Linked DNA regions of Mus musculus. The protein of the gene in region 4 purifies or fractionates together with the protein of the main gene of each other region. This does not show direct contact. Links are inferred from orthologs where the notes say so. Each region holds a gene or a part of one and is shown on either strand. Other genes may lie near its edges.

Evidence for each region.
Region 1: the proteins of Ptpn14 (region 4) and Stxbp4 purify together in Homo sapiens (affinity purification with mass spectrometry; 3 studies listed by BioGRID and IntAct, counting the BioPlex papers as one, with this or other methods). This does not show direct contact. The link is inferred for Mus musculus from reciprocal best matches to the Homo sapiens genes PTPN14 and STXBP4.
Region 2: the proteins of Ptpn14 (region 4) and Pdlim7 purify together in Homo sapiens (affinity purification with mass spectrometry; 3 studies listed by BioGRID and IntAct, counting the BioPlex papers as one, with this or other methods). This does not show direct contact. The link is inferred for Mus musculus from reciprocal best matches to the Homo sapiens genes PTPN14 and PDLIM7.
Region 3: the proteins of Ptpn14 (region 4) and Wwc1 purify together in Homo sapiens (affinity purification with mass spectrometry; 7 studies listed by BioGRID and IntAct, counting the BioPlex papers as one, with this or other methods). This does not show direct contact. The link is inferred for Mus musculus from reciprocal best matches to the Homo sapiens genes PTPN14 and WWC1.
Region 5: the proteins of Ptpn14 (region 4) and Wwp1 purify together in Homo sapiens (affinity purification with mass spectrometry; 3 studies listed by BioGRID). This does not show direct contact. The link is inferred for Mus musculus from reciprocal best matches to the Homo sapiens genes PTPN14 and WWP1.
Region 6: the proteins of Ptpn14 (region 4) and Wwc2 purify together in Homo sapiens (affinity purification with mass spectrometry, with the first as the bait; 3 studies listed by BioGRID). This does not show direct contact. The link is inferred for Mus musculus from reciprocal best matches to the Homo sapiens genes PTPN14 and WWC2.

Annotation. Positions count from the first base shown.
Region 1 is NC_000077.6:90,607,109-90,610,608, reverse strand, and holds part of Stxbp4 (syntaxin-binding protein 4), read left to right. Parts: intron 1-3,157; coding exon 3,158-3,264; intron 3,265-3,424; coding exon 3,425-3,500. UniProt on the Homo sapiens protein: Plays a role in the translocation of transport vesicles from the cytoplasm to the plasma membrane. Inhibits the translocation of SLC2A4 from intracellular vesicles to the plasma membrane by STX4A binding and preventing the interaction between STX4A and VAMP2.
Region 2 is NC_000079.6:55,506,947-55,510,446, forward strand, and holds part of Pdlim7 (PDZ and LIM domain protein 7), read right to left. Parts: intron 2,098-3,500; coding exon 1,946-2,097; intron 1,865-1,945; coding exon 1,834-1,864; intron 1,381-1,833; coding exon 1,262-1,380; intron 935-1,261; coding exon of another isoform or gene 918-934; intron 747-917; exon of another isoform or gene 679-746; coding exon 542-678; intron 421-541; coding exon 384-420; intron 178-383; coding exon of another isoform or gene 1-177. UniProt on the Homo sapiens protein: May function as a scaffold on which the coordinated assembly of proteins can occur. May play a role as an adapter that, via its PDZ domain, localizes LIM-binding proteins to actin filaments of both skeletal muscle and nonmuscle tissues.
Region 3 is NC_000077.6:35,837,899-35,841,213, forward strand, and holds the end of Wwc1 (protein KIBRA), read right to left. Parts: intron 2,534-3,315; coding exon 2,412-2,533; intron 1,347-2,411; coding exon 1,280-1,346; 3' UTR 501-1,279; downstream 1-500. UniProt on the Homo sapiens protein: Regulator of the Hippo signaling pathway, also known as the Salvador-Warts-Hippo (SWH) pathway.
Region 4 is NC_000067.6:189,727,100-189,731,067, reverse strand, and holds the start of Ptpn14 (tyrosine-protein phosphatase non-receptor type 14), read right to left. Parts: upstream 2,801-3,968; 5' UTR 2,404-2,800; intron 1-2,403. UniProt on the Homo sapiens protein: Protein tyrosine phosphatase which may play a role in the regulation of lymphangiogenesis, cell-cell adhesion, cell-matrix adhesion, cell migration, cell growth and also regulates TGF-beta gene expression, thereby modulating epithelial-mesenchymal transition.
Region 5 is NC_000070.6:19,706,205-19,710,336, reverse strand, and holds the start of Wwp1 (NEDD4-like E3 ubiquitin-protein ligase WWP1), read left to right. Parts: upstream 1-1,332; 5' UTR 1,333-1,498; intron 1,499-4,132. UniProt on the Homo sapiens protein: E3 ubiquitin-protein ligase which accepts ubiquitin from an E2 ubiquitin-conjugating enzyme in the form of a thioester and then directly transfers the ubiquitin to targeted substrates.
Region 6 is NC_000074.6:47,868,545-47,872,044, forward strand, and holds part of Wwc2 (protein WWC2), read right to left. Parts: intron 1,325-3,500; coding exon 1,235-1,324; intron 248-1,234; coding exon 1-247. UniProt on the Homo sapiens protein: Regulator of the Hippo signaling pathway, also known as the Salvador-Warts-Hippo (SWH) pathway.

The DNA.
Region 1 (3,500 bases), on a different chromosome or scaffold from region 4:
AATGATGAAAAGACCTTTCATTCTCTTGAATTGGAAGAATTAAGATCATGAATAGCTAGCTATAATGCCAAAATTAATGTATGGATTTCAGTGTGACTCTTCTCAAAATTCGATGTTATTTCCCAGAACAACAACAAAAAAAAAAGCAATTCAAGAATTCATAAACTGTTACTAATAATTATTTTTCATAGTCTAAATTTTTTAGAGTTAATATTAACAATGACATTATTTATTTATTTTTAGAGTAATACTAGTAATTTTGGGTTTGAGACTTACTTCCAATACTAGTTTTAGAGTATAGATTCTAGAATCGATTCCATAGATCCCAGGGTAGGACTGAACTTACTGGGTTCACTGTGGTAGCTTTGTCTTTATGTTGAGGAATGTAGAAATTGCTTTCTTTTTTGTAGTGTGCTTAACATGTATGGAAGGATATTAGAATACATCTAACTCGTGAAATGTAACTGAAAGAACACAGAGCTGTCCAGAATGACTGAATAAATGAGAACTTCCAGCACTCTTGAAACTTTCTGTCTTCTTCCACTTATTACACTCCATTGTACTGATAATAGACTGTGACCAAAATCAAAGAGGGGAAGAAAGGCTCTGTTTTGCTTACAGTACCAGATGACAGTCTATCACTGATGGAAGTCAGGGCAGGAATCTAGAGGCAAGAATAACTGAGTAGGTCTGCTTGCTGACCCACTTTCTGGGTCATTGATTGGCCCTCTTATGCAGCACAGGAAACCTTATAAGGATATAGCACTTCCTACAGTGGACTGGGTCTACAGTAAGGACCAACACAATTCCTCACAGATATGCCTACAAACAAACCTGATACAGATAATTGTTCAATTAAGATTTTGTTAGGTGTTTCTGGGTTGTGTCAGGTTAACAGTTAATTTTAACTAGCATAGCTGCGCTCCCTGAACACACTCTCTCTAGATTTTTACTTATTTTTCTGTAGCTTTCACAGAAGAGGTATTTTAAAACTGAAATCTAGCATATTGTGGATTGTATACCAAGTATCTGGGCATGGTCTTGATATGGTTGTTTTTTCATGAAACACAATGGATCTCCATGAGCTTAATTGTAATGTTTTTACTGTTTGAGGTTCAAATACTATTTAGGAGTCATATACACCCCTGCTCCTCTCTCAAACATCTAGACCCCCCTCACTCCCTCATTGCCAAATTCTTGCCCCTTGCCTTTGTTAATAACACATGGAGCCCAATTTGTGCTGCCCATATACTCATGGGTGTGGAGCCAGCCATCGGACCTTGGTCAACCTACCCTGGGGCCACATACTTAAACAAAACTGACTCTCACTCCCCAGAGGCCCTCAATAGCCAGGTGCTCTTCAGTTAAGGGTGGGGGGCTCGTGCTGGGATGTCGACTGGCTTGATCATTTCCAGATCTTGTGCTGACAGCCATAGCCACTGTAAATGCGTAAGTGCCGTGGCCCTGCCATGTTCAATAGACACTGCTCTATTGCAGTTCTCCCTGGACTCTGGATCCAACATTAGCAATGTGCCTGAGCCATACAGGAGGAGAGTGGTAGAGAAGTCCCATTGTTGCTGAACACTCTACTGACTCAGATTCAATTTTAAGTCAATTTTCCTAAATTTGTAGAGATTATTTCAATATGATCAAAGTAAAAAAGAAAGCTTTTTAACCTTATGTTATATTAGTCAGCCTTCTCTCTACATCAGAACCCTGAGTTAGTCAACAGATGGTCTGTTTAGATTCACACTTTTATGTGTTTCAGTCCTTGCTTGACTGGCCCATTTCTTTTGGCCTAAGGCATCATATTCTAGCGGGATGTGACAAAGTGACAATGTTCCCCTAACATCCAGGAAGCAAAAGAGAAAAGGCAGGCTTCCTTCTTTTAGGTGTGCCCCCAGTATTTCTGGTTCCACCACTCACCCCACCTCTAAAAATCTCAACTGCTTCCAAGTATGCCAAGTGGGGTACCAACCTCCTAGTACACAAACCTTGAAGGACACTCAAAATAAAATCCTTTGCTTTTTTTGTAGGATTGGCAATAATAGTTTCTGTCTTGGTACTTAATATGTAAAAAAAAAAAAGAAAAAGGAAAAAAGAACTTTTGTTTTCAGTTGAATTAAGAGAAAAAAGAAGTGACTGAGATACTGGCCCAACAACCACATTCAATCTTTTTTTTTTTTAAGATTTATTTATTATATGTAAGTACACTGTAGCTGTCTTCAGACACACCAGAAGAGGGCGTCAGATCTCGTTACAGATGGTTGTGAGCCACCATGTGGTTGCTGGGATTTGATCTTCGGAAGAGCAGTCAGGTGCTCTTACCCACTGAGCCATCTCACCAGCCCCCACATTCAATCTTATTATTGATTATGCTGTGTCTATGTATTTGGGAGAGTTATGCACCAGGCCAGGGCTTAACAAAGACAGCCAGTTAAAATAGGTGATTATCAGCATGGCATGCTCGTGACATATGATGCCGTGTGCACAGCCTCATGGCTCGGCCACAGGCAGGGTTGACGAGTCTAGTAAAGAGGGTACCTGATTACTAAGGAAGATTGGGATAAAACCAGTGCAACTGGTTTCTTAACTTTGGTTTTAAAAAGTCAGCGTGCATGTTTGTATGAGTCTGCATGTGTGTGCATGTATGTGTGTGTGTGATTGTGCATGCATGTATGTGTATGTATGTGCATGCATGCATGCCTATACATGTGTCTTTATATCTCCATTAATCAGTTTGGTAGGTGGAGAGAGGCAGAATGCCCCTTCACTAGGATGGATGAGTCTCCTATTCTGAAATATTCAATATGCAGTGAGGGCTTGGCTTGCTTTATCCAAGTCAGAATCTTATCAGACTCATAGAGCTGAGCTTTGAAAACAAGTGCCTTTTTGTATACAGGCCAGTTTCCTATGGTAGGGCAATTCATTATCGTGTATAAACCACACAATTTTGCTTATGTATAATTCTTAACCAGGTATTAATAAAACATTCTGCTTTATTTGAAAAAACATTTGGATTTTCTAATCTTTTTACTCTGTTTATGACATTATTCACAAGATTAGCTGCTTTTATTATGTTAATTTTATTAAAATCTACTTTATTATTATTATTATTATTATTATTTGTAATTTTCTGTTTGGCTTTTGTTTTTAGGATGGACGTTTGAAGCCAGGAGATCAACTTGTCTCAATAAACAAGGAATCTATGATTGGTGTATCATTTGAAGAAGCAAAAAGCATAATTACCAGAGCCAAGTTGAGGTAACGATTCCACCCCTATGATAGGATGAGTCATTTAGCATCTATATCTAAAGGTGGAGACTAGGATATCTTAAAGGTCTCGCTCTCCTAGGAGTACTGTCTTTGCGTTTACTTCACTGTATTTGTCACATATCCACATAGTAATCTCTTTACATCGTAGGTCAGAATCTCCCTGGGAGATAGCATTCATCAGACAAAAGTCTTACTGTGGCCATCCAGGAAATATTTGCTGTCCA
Region 2 (3,500 bases), on a different chromosome or scaffold from region 4:
AGAGCTGGAGGCACCCGTGGGGTGCCCTGGAGTGAGTAACAGAGAAAGGAAGCAGAGGGCAGCAGGCTGGGAAGGCCAGGCTATGACTGCACGTTGAGCACGTGGGCAGAGCGCTGGTGGTGCCAGTCCCGGAGACGTGTATAGCGTGGGCTCTGTAGCTCCAGGACATACTTTTCCCTGAGGGGCAGAGAAAGAGAGAGAGGAGGAGGAGGAGGAAGTGGAAGGAAGGAGAGATGGAAGGGAGGCAGGGAGGATGGAGGGAAGGAAAGGAGGAAGGGACAGAAGAGAGCTCTGGCAGGGGATGGCCAGGAGCAGCCGAGGGCTGGTGGCTGGAAAGGAAGAAGTGGGAGGTTAGGGAGAGGGGTTAGCGCCCAAGCTTTTACCTTGACTTCTTCATGAATTCCTCATCCGGGTCTTGCACTGAGAGGACAGAGGCAGGCATTGACCAAGAGAAACAAGGGCCACCCCAGCCATGAGTCCTGGCAAAGTCAGGCCCAGGCTGAGGTCAGGAGAGTCTGCCCTGTCCTGGGCCAGCACTTACTGAACTCTGTGCCCGTGAGGTGGGCAAGGATGCGGAAGGAGCGGGACTGGCCTGTCCCCGGCCGCGGCCGCCAGTCTTCGGTATCCTCCATCAGCCGCTGCTTGCTGGCATCGGGGACCGGCTGTCTGAGCAACTGTCTATGGGAAGGGCAGAGCTCAGAACCTCTGGTTCTGTGGGCACCAGGGGCTGCCCCTCCCAGGACGTGATGTGCACGGGTTCTGGTGACAGCAGGGGGTTGGGGGGTAGGAGGGTGAGGCAAAGGGTTTGGCTGGGTAGGTGGGTAAATCAGAGGAGGTCAGGACAGGCAGGACAGGGAGGGGCCACCACCCAGAGTGCCAAAAGGGAGGAAAGTGACAGGAAGAGAGGGCTCACTAACTTGTCAGAGGTCTGCACCTGTGAAGGAAACAGACAGATAGACAGATAAAGGGACAGACACAGGAGAAGAATGACAGGGGGAATCAGAGTGGTGGAGAGGGAGGCGAGGTAGCAACGAGTTTGTGAGACTCAGCTGGCCCACAGCACAGGCTAACCCCAGGCTGCTCAGCAGGGCAGAGCCTGTGGAAGAGCAGTAGCCCCACCCGGCCGCCAGGGGTTGCTGCCACACGGTTAAGGGGCTGGGGTCCGGCACAGACTGAGCGGTAGCAGGCAGCTTGTGTGTGTGCTTGTGAAAGGACCAGACAGTGTGCAGAGGTTGGAGTGGATGGGCAGGGGCTGACATACCCATTCTGCCGCAGGGTGCTGTCAGTAGGTGGGGGTGCCCCGAAGGGCCGGGCCGTCTTGTTGAGGGAGGCGCTTGGTGCAAAAGTGTACCTCGGGGGGTCGGCGGGAGGGGTCAGGGCCTGGGCAGAGACAGAGCCGGGCAGGGTGGGTGGGTGGGTGGGAGTTGAGGCTGAGGTGGGAGCGGAGTCACCACCACCAAGAACAGTGACAGGTCCGGCCCACTCTTACACATCTGGCCAGAGGCTAGGATGAAGGGGTAGTAACTACGACTTCAAGGGGCCCATTGGGAAGTGATGAATTCAACCCGCTCTGGACCAAGGGTGACCAAGGGTGGGTAGGCACACACAGCACAGGCTTGTGGGAAGAAGCAGGCAGACAGATAGGCAGGCAGGCACGTGTGGCGCCCGGACCGTGCGGCAGCTCCTAGCTCCACTCTCATGTTCCCCAGACCCTGCCTGTTCTGGCGTCTGCCCTTAGCCAGAGAGAGGGTCCCAAGGCTGGGCCAGGGGTGGTAGGTTAGCCCAGGCTAAGCCCCTCCCTCTCTCAGCCAGGACATCTCCTGTATAACCTACCTTCTGTGGTTTGCTCTGAACAGGCTGGGCTCTGGAGAAGAAGAGAGACGCAGTCACAGCAGGTAAGAGACCAGAGGCTATCCACACCCCTTCTGCCTGTCAGCACCTGTACCTGCTAAGACCCAGGCTGAGGCGCTCCCCACAGGCGCGGATCTTGTTCTGGGCTTCGATGTGCGTGAGGCTGCCCGCGTTCTCACCGTCAATATTCAGTACCCAGTCTCCCACAGCCACACCGGCCTGTGCAGCTTTGCCTCCGGGCGTGAGCTGTAGAGAAGAATGGTCAGAGGTCCATGGGTGCATAACCAAGCTGCACACTCCCTCACAGTCCAGATGCTGTTGGTAAACAGCCACCTTCAGGTTAGAGCCCACACTCGCAGGCTAGGACCATAGCCTTTGACAGCTATGTTTTCTGAGGCCTCAATAGGCTGTTTTACCCACCAGCCTGCCCTCCCAAGACAGCCACCTACCCGTGTTGCTGAAACTGGGCTACGAATTGATCGGGGTCACCTATATCCTGTTAAATGTCTCCTATCTGAGAACCGCTACTGCCCCCCACCCCCATCAAGGCCAAGTCCTGGCTCCTCTCCCGGGCACTGAATGTCTTCACGAATGTACTCTCACTTTTATTTTTTTAGCTTTGGTGACCAAGGCTTACGGCTTACCAGGAATCAGCCAGTGCCGCTGGCTATCATTCCACCATTTGCCACACAAACCAGAAATTCCCAACTCAAAGCCAAAGGGATTGGGGGCATGGTGGTTCACCACAGGTCTGAAACCACAGGGCCACTCGACCATCTGATACCACACAAAGCATTTACACTTGACAGGTAGTAGGAAAAGCGGGGAGCAGGATGCCCAAGGTCCCAGAAGGCTCCTCAGGTGAGCTAATGCAATGTGTACTGAAGCAGACAGAGAAGATGAGGGCTTCTAGAGATGTCAGGGACAGAGGGACCTCATGCAGACACTGTCAACTCTGGTACAGAATGGGGAGCTGGACCTGACAGCTTTATTTTGTGCCTGAAAGGGAAGTTAGCAGAGGAGAGAGCTGGTGAGTCACAGCCTTCTTTACCTGATAACATACGGTAAGAATAGAATCTCACAGAACACCTAGGCTCGACACCAAATCTTCCAACACCCTTGCAGGAGTCTGGGGATACACCCTGTTCACACTCAGAAAAAAACTGAATTACAGATCACCTGAACTCGGTCTCCAGCTAGCAAGGGGTGCAGCCAGGATTTGGGCCTGACTGGAAGGCTCCACTACAATAGGGCACAAACGAGAGACCAACACACCCAGTAAAGACGCTGGGATAGCCAGATGTATGGCCTACACCCAGCACTGGGGAGGCAGAGGCAGGTGGATTTTTGTGAGTTCAAACCCAGCCTGGTCTGCGTAGTGAATTCCAGAGTGGTCAAGACTACACAGAGAGACCCTGCCTCAAAAAACTAGTAAAATTAATTAATTAGATAAAATCAGGGGAAGCAAAACAAGACTCTGGGGTGCCAGGCATGGTATACGTGTGATGCTAACACTCAGGCAGGCTAGGCAGAAGGACTGGCAGCTCAAGGCAAGATGCCCCCTCATTCCGTGGCTGTTTGGGGTCTGTATGTCCCCTCTCACCTTTGTTTCACTCCAAAGAGCCCCTAATAATGGGGACGGGGAAGTG
Region 3 (3,315 bases), on a different chromosome or scaffold from region 4:
TAACTGCTGACACATCTCTCAATGTCCCATTAGTCATTTATTTATGTGCATTGTGGGTGCATGTCTGTCTGTGCACCATATGCATACTTGGTATGCACAGAGACCAGAAAGGGTCTCAGATCCCGGAAACTGGAATTACATATAGCTGTGAGCCACGATATGGGTGCTTGGAATCAAATACTGTTCTCCAGGAAGAGCAGCCAGTGCCTTTAACTCCTGAGCCATCTCTCCAGGCTCAGTTTTTAAGGACAGGTTTTCATACTGCTGAGAAGGTCTCAAACTCCTGCGTCCACCTTGCAGGTTCTGGAAACACAGACATACACCACCAGACCTTAGGTTCCCAAAGAGCTGAGCAGTCACTTTTATCTAACGGACAAATAAGTATAACTCGAAAAATAAAAGAAAAAGGAAAACAAAATTTCCCCCCCCAGGATTTGGAGCTGAGTGAAATCAGGGACATAATAAAAGTGAAGATGTGAAAGGGACAAATGACAAGAAGCTCTTTCTTAAAAGGCCACTTTATTGTTAGAGATAGATCCAAATGCGGTTCTCCGCAGCCCTCCCCTCACTCCCACAGCTGCGTCACTGGGCATCTGAGATGGGCGTGGCCTGGGCGTGGCCTGTCACCAGTCCGGGCGGTTCAGCCAGCTCCAGGCTACCTGCTTCCGGTCACGGTCACGTGGCCACATGAAAGACACATCACAGCTCACAAAGATCCGCGGACAGTCTTCGAATTCCCCCACGATTACTGTACATCCTTGTCTTTGTATTATTGTACAAAATAACGTTAACCAGGGCAGGCTAGCTGTGCTGTGCCACCCGCGGGACCTCCTTTGAGGATTGTCGCCCCTCAAATACAACTTTTTTTTTTTTTATTATTGCAGGGAAACCTCTGAAAGTTGTTGCTGTACAAAAAGAAAACTCTAGACAGTTTTAAGACTAGCAGCCACTTAATGCTGCTTTAGTTCATTTAAATTCTTTCCCAAAAATACATTCCTAAATATACAAACTATACAATCTTGTCATTTTAATGCTGGTTTTTTTGTTTGTTTGGTTTTTGTTTTTGTTGTTATGGTTGCTTTGTCATTTTTTTTTTTAAATAATAACAAGAAAACCTGAAATTTAAAAAAAAAATCTGTCTTCAAACCAACAAGAGCGCTCGGGGACTTGTGACTCAGTACCTTCATATAATGCCTCATAAATAACATTAGTCACAGTCAGCCTTCACAGCTTGGTCTGCACGCGCGCGCACGAGACAAAGGAAATACTTTTCTGGTGGTTAGACGTCATCTGCAGAGAGAGCTGGGATGTTCATCCGAGGCCGGGTGAAAAATGCCATTTTCTCCCTGTGATGGAAAACAGGTGTTTCAACCTCACTGAACACATAGGTATGGACAGGATAAAGCCCTGCTCAGGGTCAGGGCATCATGTATCCCAATCACACAGTCTGCCACTGAGAGACACCTCTACTATATACTGTAGGATACTTAGTGATAGCTCTGGCCACTATTAAATGCTGTTAGCATGCCTGAACTCTGGCTGTGAAATCTGAAATCTATGAACCCTGAACATGGTGATACATGCCTCTAGTCCCAGCAACTTGAGAGGCTCAAGACAAACATAGCTTGGGTCCGAGATTTTGAGTTCCTATCCACATAGTCCCATCTTTAACAACACACACACACACACACACACACACACACACACACAGTCAAATATCTTTGCAGCGAGTGACATAGGAGACAAAATCATGCTTGACCCATTAGCATGATCAATACAGGAAACACATACATATACATATGCATATATGTGTGTGTGTGTATGTATATGAACATTGGTTTATTTTTGTTTTTTGTGTGTGTTTGAGGCAGGGTCTCATGGAACACAGGTTGGCCTTGAACTCACACTATAGTGGATGGAGGATGAATCTAAATCCCTTTGTGTTGGAAGGCCCACACCAAATGACATCTGTGACCCTCCTCTGACACGTGTAGGTCCAGCAAGGCAAGCACCCAGCTGTGATTCTATTAGGCAGGCTAGCAAGCCGAGGCAGGAAATTAGGTGAGCATCCATTGCACGCCACTCCCCTCTTTATCACCAGCCAGGCCCCTGCAATTACCAGGTACCGAAAAGGCTGAGAGGAAAGGATAAGGCAGGTGGTTCATTCATTAAACAAGAGGATCTCACAAACTGGGCTGAGCTGTGTGGGGACTGGTCCCAGAGCACCACAGTACTCACAGCATTATGGGAGCCTGGCAGAGGATGAACATCTGTTCCCATGTAGGCTACAGCTCTGCTAGCAACAGGGGCATTCAGTGCCCAGGAGCAGGGAACACGAGGCCAGCAAAGACGATAAAGGCCAGGCAGCTGGTGGGGTAGCGGAAGGCATGAGACTGGGATTATCCACTCACCTGAAAGACTGCACTTCTGGGGGCTCCTTACAGCTCTGGCCTCGAAGCCTGTGCACATCCTTGGCAGCAGCTCTCATCATCTTGTCGGCTTGCAACTCACTCTTGTGCTCCCCACGATCCACCTGGGAGGTAAGGCAAGCAAGAGTGTGAGGTGGGAGAGAGTCCTCTGGCCTGCAGGAGGCGCTGTTAGCAATGCAGAGTCTGTACCATAGAGTCGGCATTGTGTAGAAGGCATTGTGTAGGGTTATATTCACATCATCCACCGATGACCACTGAGGATTGAGGCAGGGAATAGAAGCCCTTCCTGTGCCTGAAGGAACTGTGACAGGACACGCCTAGTGAAGTGTGTTTCTTACCTGCTCCTCAGGCACTTGGGAGGGGAGATTTTACAGTAGCTTTGATTTTACAGACCAAGAAAATGACTCAATTTTGTTTGTTTCACTTTTGATTTTTGTTTTTAAATTTTTATTTAAAAAAGAAATGCGTTCAGTTTTATGTATATGAGTACTCTATCTGCATGTATACCTGTGTGCCAGAAGAGTGCATCAGATCCCATTACAGATGGTTGTGAGCCGCCATGTGGTTGCTGGGAATTGAACCCAAGAACCTCTAGAAGAACAGCCAGTGCCCTTGAAAAGGTCAGCTCAGGAACTTTGGGAAGGTAATGAAACACTTGCCCTTGCTGAAGGGCGAGACTAATTAACATTTCTCAGACAACAGGGTGGAACCGACCTGCAGGTGGGGACACATTCTGCAGGACTGACCATTGCCCACCTTCAGACAAGGGAAGTCCTTGTCACCTCATTCCCTAAAGACCAATCAGTTTAAAGGGTGCCCTGTTCCGCCAATCATATTGTGCCTAGATGCTGATGCCCTGGAAACCATATAAAAACTCCCCAAATGG
Region 4 (3,968 bases):
CTCTGGAACCCAGGTGAGCTCAATTTGCTAGGAAGAGGCCAATACTTGTATCCCCCATTGGGAAAGGAATCCAGTAAAAAAAGCATACACTGGGGAAATCCTCACAGCCGTGGGCTTCTGCTCATCCCTGGGGCAAGGAAGAACTCGTCTGGAAGCCCTGATTGCCTCTGAATTCTTTGTGGTGTGCCAACATTAAACGTCTCCCTAAGGTGATTCTCTTCCAGCTGACCGTGGAACATAACTCACACCAGCTTGAGTAACTGCGGTGCTATGAGTTTGTACACACCAAGGAAGAACGCCTCGAGGAGACCCGGGACCAAGCAGCACAAAGCAGCGGCCTGTTGACACACATTTCTCTCATGCAGGTCCCACACACATTCCAGATCTTCCACCGTGGACATGCTTGCTCTTGGGATCGGAGTTGGGCTGAGAGAGAGTCCTGAATAAACACCCTAAATTGCAAGGAACCGCTCCGGCAGCTTAAGATACATGAAGGCTGGAGACCTTGCGTCTTAGCCAGGACCGACCACTAGGAATATGCACTTCAGCCCAGTGAACAAGTCCCCCAGAGAGGTGACTGTGGACAACCTCTCCTGCACTGAGGAGCTCTGCAGGCAGTGTGTGCTGGACCCTGAGTTACAAGGATGGAAAATTTCGGTTTCTACAGGTTCAGAGAGAGCAAAGAAAACCTCAAGATGCTGCGGAAACTCAGAAACTTCTTTGTTTGTTTGTTTGTTTCTTTCCTTCTTTCTTTTAGTTTTTCGAGACAGGGTTTCTCTGTGTAGCCTGCCCTGGCTGTCCTGGAACTCACTCTGTAGACCCAGCTGGCCTCGAACTCAGAAATCCGCCTGCCTCTCAAGTGCTGGGATTAAAGGCGTGTGCCACCGCTATCTGGTGGAAACTCCTTTTAAAAGCAGTGATTCTGAGATACATAGCCACATCCTTCAACTGATTCTCCACGTGCCAGCCACACAGTCACACGGGTAAGAGTGCTGCTAGGGAAGAAAGCTGTTAGGGATCTGGGAAAGGGATGAGCACTGGTGACTGGTGAGCACGAGGCCTGGACCAGGTTCTGTCCCCAGCACCAAAGAGGAAACTCCACTTGTAAGACACAAACTGCTCTCCCCATGTCAAAAGCTCTCAGGACAAGGTTCTGTAGTGGGGTGGGATGGTCCTCACGGGGATACTTTAACAAAACCAAGGATGGGTAAATTAACGACAATTAAACACCTGTCACCCTACAGAACCCTGTGGGAAACACATCAGGGGAGGGAACATGTCCAAGGGAACGCTTTTGATCCTTGGAAGCTACTCCTGGTCACGGGAAGTGGGTAAAAGACTTCCGGTTTCGTTTCTGCTGGGGTGGGGGCTAACTATGCCAGCAACATTGCACCAACCTGCCCATACATGCCCAGCCAGCCACCAGGTCGCTCTCCAAGACTTTCTGCACGCCCCTCTCCGCGCCCCTCACTTTGCCCAAGCTGTTCCCTCCTCTGGAATGCGGTCCCTCAACCACTCCTAAGTTGAGCATCATTCCCTCAACGAAGGTAACCCCTTTCCTCCAGGGCCTGGCCTTCCCAAGAGTCTCAGAACCCCTCTCTCACAGCACATGTCCCCATCCGCCCACGGCTGCCTGCAGGGTGCTGCAGACTCTTGTAATGTGATCTCTTAGCACAGGGGAAGACTCACCACTGAGTTTGTTGAATTAATGAGGGAGGAAATCCATTTCAAGAAATTAACGCATTTTGGAAATTGACCATACATACACCCATTCAGCAGCAGTCTGAACTCGCCTAAGTAGGACCCAGCTAATCCGTGAACCAACTAAACTCAAGACCCCAATATCTCCTCAAACCAAAGGAAGAAGGGCAAAGCGGGATAGTGACAGCGCACATCAATTCCTCCCAGAAAAGATAGGAAAACCATTCCCAAAGATTTAAAACTAGATGTGGCGTCACGTGGGAAAGGGGCTGTTAACTCTCAGAACTTGCAAAGTTCGAGTTGGAGATTGGTCTGAGATGAAGGTATTTTTCCCTGCGCGCCTGTAAGGATCACCCAAGCCGGGGCCAAGAGACTCAGGAGTTTGGTATCAAGGCTGAGGTATTGGGGAGAGGGCACAAGAACCCCCTCACAAACCCAGTGCCCACAGAGGCACAGGACAAGCTTTGGGCTCTGCGCTCTGTTCCCCTGCTCGCAAACACAACAGGAGCTGGAGGCGATGTTTTGGCTGAATCCGAGTCCCAGACCGCGCTCCCCTTCCAGCTCAATCCCGGACGAGCGAGCACTGCTAGCGAAGAGAACCGGCGGCCGGCCACCTGGCGCCCCCACCGCGCATCCCGGCGTCCCCGGCGGCGAACGAAGTTGGCTCTGCCTGGAGTATCTGCTCCCGACCGGCTAGCTTACCTGCTTACATGGCCCGGGAGTGCCCCGGGTGCCGCACGTTGACCATCAGGGAGTCTGGGTCCCCACCACTGGCTTCCAGGAGCTGGCAGAGGAGGGGCGCAGGGAGGGTTACGCAGCGGCCGGCGCGCCGGGCGCACCGGGGAGGAGAAAGGGCCAAGAACCTAAGCACCGCCGTCCCACGCGAGGGGACCCGGGCGATCAGAGAGGTGGGGCGCAGAGAGGGACCGCCAGCGGCCACTTGGTACCAGATGCTCCACGAGGACCTGCCCTGTGGACGAGACGGCTGAGCCGAGGAGCGCAGCTAGCTGGCCGGGCCCGCGGCCGAGGCGCTGGGCAGCCGGGAGAAGTTGTGCAGAACTTGAGCCTCCGGAGAGCCCGAGCGCCAGGAAGCGCGAGCGGCCGGGGAGGGCGGAGGAAGGGGCCGGGTGGGAGGGGACGAGCAGGCGCCGCTGGCCGCGCTCCCCCGCCCCGGGCTCTGCTCCGCAGTGCTGGGGGCCAGGAGGCGGGGAGCGCGCGGGGCGCTCGCTGGGCGGGCCAGGAATGCGTCCGGGGAGGGCGCGCGCCAGCCTCGGGGACGCGCGCCCTGCGCTGAAAAGAGGAGCCCGGGCTCCCCCGCTGCGGGCGCACGGTCCCCAGGGACGTCACAGCGCTGGAATCCGAGGAATGCCAGGCTGCGGGAGCTCCTTCGGCCGGCCGGGCAGAAGTCGTGCACTTTTAATGGGCTAGCTTTGGAGCGCGTTTTCCCTACCAAGGTGTGGGACGGTGGACTAAAGGAAAGTGCCCGGAGTGAGATAGACTGGAAGTGGAGAGGGGGCGATGACCCAAATCAACCAAACTGTGTGACGCTTAGGAGGCGGAGGGGAAAGAGGAAAGGAAAAGACCGTCCCTCCAAGATTTCCGTGGGCAGCTAAGGGGTGGGACACTGGAGCTAGAACAGGCCATTTATTTGAGGGAGGTCTCCAAGCAGGATGCCCCCATGCCGCCACCGCCCAGGAGACACGGGACAAAGTAGGGTGGCCTCCTTGAGAAGGCAATCTAGAAGCTCTCCTCAGAATCCTAGGATCTCTGAGTAGTGAGTCTTAGCTCCGGTCCTCCCACCCCGCCCCCACGGCCAACCAGCCTTTGTGTGCTGGAAGTTGGAATATGTGGTTTTCCCGGTTTGTTCCATGCCACGGAGGGGGCCCCACCCCGCCTGGGTAGGCACTGGGAGGGAACTGCGTTAGCACTTTCGGAGGTGGGGTTACTGAGGCGCAGCCAGTGTAATGGAAAAGGCACTCGGCCGGGCAAGGAAACCTGTATTAGGCCCCGCGGAGTTGCTGGCCCAGTGGTTAACTCAGGAAGATCCCAGCCCCCTACCCCTGATCCTTGGGTTTAGTAATTGTGAAGTGAAAGGAGTTGCCTATATTTTTAAGGTGCTTTGCATGTCTTGGCATCTGTTCTCTTCCTGAAATCTTAAGACCAGTCCTTTCAAGGACCCTGAAGTCCTTGTCACCCAAAATATCATTAAATTACTTCACTGTACAGGCAAGGGACACAAAACTTCCAGGCCTTATCCTATCAAAATG
Region 5 (4,132 bases), on a different chromosome or scaffold from region 4:
GACCAGCTGCTTCAAGCTCCGGTCACTAGGTATGAGCCAGCGTAAACTCCATTTCCCTTAAGTTGTTTTGGACCAGTCATTTATCACAGCAAGAGGAATAGGTTGAAGAAAAGTAAAATTGTCATGTACATTTTTGAGAGATTTTTGTGCACCATAGGCATATGCCCCTAACTTATATGTAAAATTAGGGGCTAGTAACTAATGGACCAGAGTGGAAAAGAATGAACGTTTGTTCATTCAAGTGGTATTTACTGAGTCCTACAAATACTCATGGAGCCTTAGTGTTCTTCTTGGTAGACTACTTTTTTCTCTTCTTCAAAAGTTGCAGCAACAACGGAGTGAATCAGAAAGGTGGTTTAATGTTAACAAGATATTTAGAACAGAAATGTTACAAGGTGATTAGGCTGAGAACTTGTTACCTATGGAGTAGTGAAGTTAAAGGTGTCACAGGCAACAAGAAGCCAGGATTCGTGAACTTTTCTGACAAGAGAACTAGTCGGCTCTGGGGTGGGTTTAAATTAATTTGTGAGGTCTAGCTGAGGTGTTTGGCTAAATGTACTATTTATTCTGGAAGAACTTTTGTTCTTTCTCTGAAGTAGAATGGCGGGCCATATGGTGAGTAATGTGGTCATTACACTGCAGTGTGACCTTTCTCGCAATGTAAATTACCAACAGCTCTTTTCTAAACCAGTTGACTCATTGTGTCAAAGAGTCAAGAGACAGCTACCTTTCAGAATTACTGTGTCCATTAACTGTACGAAAAGGGATATATGCACTTGCTCAATCAGTAGTAGCTTTGTCCCTGGGCCACTGTGGTGCCAAGAGAAAGGAACAATTTCATTACCAACACAATGGTCTCGTGTGACTACCATTACTAATGGACCCTAAATCAAATATTAAAGCGAGGTCAAGGGGTTTTCCTTCGCAGCCTACTTTGGCTGCGAAAGCACGGACGTGCCTGGAGGGTCTTCCCTGAGGTTATGCAGGAAGCTCTGCAGCTGACTGAACAGACCAGGTAGCTGCTGTTCACAAGTCACCACCGGCTTCCCGGCGGCTGCCCCGCCCCCTTTCCGGCTCTGGCTCCACCTCCTCTCCCTTATTGGTTGGCGTGCCTCTCCGCCTGACCGCCTGGAAGACCCGGAGGAGCGGAGTGGCCCCTAGGCGGGCTGGGCGCGCGCTCGCTGCGCATGCTCGAGGGCAGCTGGATTCCCGGTCTGGACCAGAGGCTCAGAGCGGCCCCGGCGGGGAGGCGCGCCCGTGCGCGGCAGCGGCAGCGGAGTCGCGAGCACGCTGCGCGCTCCCGAGGAAGGGAGGTGTAGGCCGGGGTGGGTGGGGGGAGGGCCGGGTGTCGGCGCGCTTGGCGTGCGGGATCCGAGTGGCTGCGGGCGGCCTGAGCTGCCCGGCCGACGCCTGCTGCGAGATGGCGATCTTGGGCGCGGAGGGCTGAGGAGGCGCCGCCGCGGTGGCTGCGGGCCCCGGGAGCCGCAGCTTTGCGCGGGTAAGTACAGCGGGGCTCTGGAGGGCGGCCGGGCCGGAGTTCGCCGGGGTGGGGTCGCCGGGCTTGCCCCGAGCTGGCCCTGGCACCGGCCTGTGCGGGTGACACCGGAGCCCGGCGAAGTGGCTCGGTGACTGCAGTGCTCAGCCTCCTGACCGGCGGCTTGCTGGCGTCCCAGCTTCCCCGCCTCAGAACTGCTGCCCTGACTTTCACCCGGATCCCACCGGCGCGAGCCGGGACGCCAGCCTCAGAACGTCCTTTTCTGACACGTTTTTAGCATTCAGCTTTTTTTTTTTTTTCACTGACTCCGCACCTCCTCTCACCAACAATCTTAATCTCCACCTTTGGTGACCTGGTAGGTTCAAGTGACCTTGCAAAATTTTCTAATCCTCATCTCGTGATTTGGGTCCTTTTCCTTTAAATCTTCTTTTAAAATGTAGTATTGTTAGGATTTGGTACTTTGCCCGTCGCCTTTAGCCTTTACAGTCCTTAAATGATCAGTTTGTGGCTTAGGGCTGTATGGCTTTCTACTCATCGGTTTGGAGTTGTAAGTTCTTTTGCTCTAAGCGATTCCTCTTCATTATTACCAAAAAGAAGGTGTATCTATTATGCTTTTGAAATATTTTACTCGTCCACCATAAAATATTTCACAAATGTCTGTGTTTTCCCTGTTAATGTTTCATCTTTTTGTGTGCATAAAATTGAATTCCTCCCCCTAAAATGCCGCTACTTAGAGTTATGGAAAAAAATGCCAGAGTTACCTTCCCACTCCCCATTTGGTGTTTTTTTTACCCCTGATGAAATACCCTGTTCACAGTTGTCTGTAGGTTTCTGTAAGAGTTTTTGCTTATGTATAAATCCACTTAACATGTCTCACCAAGTCTGTATGTAACTGCTAGTAAAACTCTCCTTTTAAAAAAGACATTCTTTCATTTATCTAACTTCCTTGAGCCATAAAACTATGTGCTTAAGCTGACTGAAAATTACCATTTTTTAAATAACTAGTTAACATTTTAAATTCAAAGATAATGTCCAAGTGTTGGAGCTGTTGAAATTGAGATGCTTGAGAAATGTGACTTAGCTCTTTGAGACATAGATTATTAACATTTCCAAATAATTCTTCACGTAAAATGTAGAGCTGCTTTTAAGACACTGTACTTTTGAAACCCAGGGCATGGCTGATCAGGTCTCTTGCCTTCAAAGAGATGGTAATCTCTTGAGTTGGCTGAAATTTCTGTTACATCCTTGCACAATTATTAAGCATCAACTGCATGACAGTGAGGTATTTGGAGGTATATGTAGATCAAATGGTTAGCAGCTTCTGTCTTTGCAGGCTATGGAGGAGGTATGTGTGTTGGGTTATATACCGATGCTCCTTTTATGTCCCTGTGAATAAATGGCAGGATCTCACTACAAAGCCCAGTCTGGCCTTGAACTTGCCATCTTCCTGCCTCTGAGGTCATAGGTCTATGCCACCATGCCCAGAATACCTTTGTGTGCGTGTGTGTATGTTTCATAAATATATAAAATTGTCTCAAGTCGAGTTCAGAGAGGGTACTTCTTACATGAGTTAAGGGGTTTTGTATTTTGAGGACTCTGGACTGAAGGGTGGCATGAAGGATGACAAGAAGTCAACAAGGAACTGTAGTTCATGTAGAGGACTCTAAGAGGGTTTGGATGGAGTCTGCAGGATTTCGGATATAGGGTAAGAAAATTTGAAATAAAAACCAAGACCAGTAACAAGGTGGTTTTTCTTTCTTTAGTTTTGTTTTGGAACAGGTCTTGCTACGTAGATGTGACTGTTCTGGAACTTGCTTGCCCTGTGGATCAGGTTAGCCTTGAACTCAGAGATCTACCTATCTCCCTCTGCCTTCCCAGCCTTAGAATTAAAGGGTTCGCTACCACTCTTGGCCCAAGAGTTATTATTAAATTGAGATGAATTTCAGGTTACTAGACAGTGTGGGGCCCACAGGAGATTGTTGAGTTTAAGAAACAATTTTACACCTTGGCTTAGAAAAATTAATCTAGTGGCATTGTGTAGTATGAATTGAGGTAGGAGGAACCTGGAAATTCATAAATTACCCCAGGATTTCCATCATTACAGATAGCAGGGGTCTGACCAAGTGGAAAGGACAGGAAAGCAGGATAGAATTTGGCAATCAAGTTAAAGTTAAAATAATTGCCAAGATGACTCAGTGGGTAAAGGTGTTTGCTGCCAATCCTGGTGACCTACACTTGATCATAAAACCCCCTTGGTAGAAAAGTAATCTACTCTCCAAAGTTGTTGTCCTCTGACCCTTATACTTGCACAGTGACACAAACACATCCTCTTCCCTTCACAAATTTTTTTTTTTTAGAAGTCGGGGTCTTACTGTGTTGCTGTGGCTGCTTTGGAACTCACTGTGTACACCAGGCTGGCCTCGAACTCACAGAGATCCACCTGCCTCTGCCTTCTGAGTGCTGGGATTAAGGCGTGCATCACTATGCCCAGCTGAAATAATTGTTTTTTTTAAAGTTAAAATAATGATTCTGACCCATGTCCATCGGGAAAGTGATGGTAGCATAGAAGTGTTATCTTTAGCAGGCCTGTATGATGTTCATAGGCTTTGGGGAATTACTAACTAAAGAAACTAAAGA
Region 6 (3,500 bases), on a different chromosome or scaffold from region 4:
GACCACCTCATTTTCGTGGATGGTGGTGATGGGTCCGGAAGGAATGTAGCCACCCTTCTCTTGAAGAAGGAAGTCCAGTTTATACTGATAGTCTGTGTCCATCTGGTCGCCCTGGCTGCTGTAATAGAGTTCACTGGAACTGAGGGAGTTGAGTGACCCCCTGCTGGAGGTGTTCAGAGAGCCCCGACTGGAGGCCAGGGACCCTAGACTGCTCCCAGATGACATGGACAGTGTGCTGGAGGAGAGGCTGGAAACAGGAGAACAACACACTGTAAACTCTGCGTTCCACAACAAACACAGCTACAGGCCCCGGTGGCTCCCACAGCCCAGGCAGAGGACGTCTCTACTGGAACACAGACTTCCCTACCCACTCACTACTGTCACCAACCTGGCTCTCCACATACACCTCATCAATCACAGCTACCAGGAGTGGTGGCGCACGCCTTTAATCCTAGAACTTCAGAGGCAGACAGATATCTGAGTTCAAGGATAGCCTAGTCCACATAGCCAGCTCTAGGATAGCTACACAGAGAGTCTCTGTCTCAAAAATACATACATACATTAACTAGTCTTTTAAAAATTTAATGATCCAAGCGGGTAAAGCGGTGTACACCTTTAATCCCAACACTCAGGATTCAGAACCAGGTGGACCTCTGAGGTCAAGTTCAGCCTGGTCTACATATCCAGTTCAGGCCGAGCCAAGGCTTCACAGTAAGATTATCGTTCCCACTACCAATGATGCACCTTTTGCAAAATTTAAATTTAAAAAAAAAATCAAATGCCTTGCAGAGTCATCCACAGCCACTTCATACTTCATACAGGGCAGCTTCTGTCGCTAAGGAGAAAGGCTTCCTATGAAGGCCACCGAGCCCCAGCTCACCAGGAATGCCAGGGTGACATGCTAAGCCGTGCCAGAAAGTCACATCAGCGATTTCACAGGGACCTTCCAGCTCGTCGGTAACAGGTGGGATAACGGCTGTGATAAGGTATTTTCTCAAGTCTTGAGTGACAGATAAAGTCAACCCTCTTTCTGTGGGGTATTTCAAAATGCATCCTAAATATAAACAAGGATTTTGGAGGGGAAAATGTACTTCTGCATTTGGTACTTCAGACATTAATTGAGTGAGGGTAACTGACTTGTTCACTTTTAAGCAGCTAAAAACCAACTAAAGAGGACCAGGCCGTGCCTGGACGCTGTGGGAAACAGTTCCCTTGAAGAACATAGCTAGCTTACCTTTGAAGTTGCGAGTACAAGGAAGTAGTTAACTTAGTAGTTTCTTCAAGTTTCTGTAGCAGCTCTTTTCTTTTCTCTTCCAATTTCAATCTAGGGGAAAAAAAGAGAAACAACAGAAGACATTAATTTTCAAATGAAAGTGTAAAAACCCAAATTAACAACAGAAAACCTGATTATCCCAGAATCACGTGTAAGAAGGGAGCACTGGCTGGTTTTGTGTGTCACTTGACACAGCTGGAGTTATCACAGAGAAAGGAGCTTCAGCTGGGGAAATGCCCCATTGAGATCCAGCTGTAAGGCATTTTCTCAATTAGTGATCAAGGGGGAAAGGCCCCTTGTGGGTGGTGCCATCTTTGGGCTGGTAGTCTTGGGTTCTATAAGAGAGCAGGCTGAGCAAGCCAGGGGAGGCAAGCCAGTAAAGAACATCTCCCCATGGCCTCTGCATCAGCTCCTGCTTCCTGACCTGCTTGAGTTCCAGTCCTAACTTCCTTGGTGATGAACAGCAGTATGGAAGTGTAAGCCGAATAAACCCTTTCCTCCCCAACTTGCTTCTTGGTCATGATGCTTTGTCCAGGAATATAAATTCTGACTAAGACAAAGGGGATGTCTGTTTGACCTTGGTAAAGAGAAAACAGAATAACCAAGAGAGAAGGAACCAAACAAGGTTACAGCCATGATAAATAAACTAACTGGGGGTTACGTCCAGTCCCAGAGCTTGGAAAACTCAGTCTTGGAGAAATGGCAAAGGGGTTACAGCAGCGGCACCAAGCCCAGCAAAAGCCCAGCAAAGACTGCAGGATCTTACGGGACTGCAGGCTGACTTGTCACCTAGAAACCATTGGGCAGCAATTTGGAAATGCAAAAGGCCACCTTAGGTACTGAATTCATTGAGTGCTGCTATAAAATAGCGCCTACAGTGCTCAGTTCCTGGGACTTTTAGCTGACAGAGGCCGTTCCACAGGGCGCTCTGGGCCCAATCCTGTCTTATCTCTTGGAGCACATTACCGTACAGGTAGAGCACTGTACAATTTTATCTCGAAACAAACTCATTTCAAAAGAGGTCAGGCATCGAAAGAAAATGCACAAGTTGAATCAGCGGGGACTTGAGACTTCATCCAAGGAAGGCAGTGCCTTGATCCTGCTCTGGGATACCCAGCTTGTGAGCCCAGGACCCTCTGGCAAGCTGCTGGCTAGAGGGGCTCGCCTTCCCTCCTGCGTGTACCTGACAAAAGGTAAAGGGATCAAAGGGACTAAGGCATGGGACAGTGCTCTACAGGCCACAGAACAATCACACTAGCTCACAGCCCTGCAAGGTCGGGCTATACACAATTAGGTTTGGAGAAAAAAAATAAAACCTACCCAATTTCATCTTATTTATAGGTACCTATTCCTTTGATTGTCTACAACACAACTTCTATTATATCTTACAATTAAAAAGTAATTCTTAACCCTGTCTCGAAAAAAACAAAAAAAAAGTAATTTTTGCCATTTTCTGTAACACTGTTGTGATCAATTCTTTCACAATTGCATTTTAAAGAACAGCTACTTTTTGAAATCTCTTAGACAAATCTATTCAATCAGGAAGAAAAATTAATGCAAAGAAGAACTGAGTCAGAAGACATGATGGTCTGGAGGAAGCCCCAAACACTGCCAATATATATATATATATATATATATATCCTACATATCAGATTTCTTAATGCACAGGGCTTTTCTCCCGTTCTCCAGGCCGTGATCTTGCTCAGCAGCTCCTGTGTCAGCTCCTGTAGGCTGCTCTCAGCTACCAGGCTGGGCTTTGGGCTCATGTGAGTGAGTGAGGGGGGGGGGGGGTGAGTGTCTGTGTGTGTGGTATGTAGGCCAGAGGTTGATGTTGATGTCTGGTATCCTTGGAGATCATTTTCTACCGTATTCATTTTCACTGTTTTATGTGGATGGCTGTTTTGTCTCTGTGTAGGTTTGTGTACCACATGCATGCATAGCCTGCAGAGGACAGAAGAGGGTCCTCTTCCTCTACATAAACTTCTTGCTGGAGTCACTAGAGGGACGATAGAGGAACCCTAAAAAGCCACAGAAACTTAGTAGGGCAGCAGTTTCTGCCCTTCATGTCGTCATCAAGCTTCTCCGCCGAGGGCACCTGGGCTGCAGGTCTTCTTCAGACTCTGAAGTGTCCTTCCTCCCAGGGGACTATGACTGCAGTCCTCTTTCTGCACTCGGCTGTCTGAGCTCCTTACCAGCCCTGTCCTTCTGGTGTCTTCATCCAGAAAGG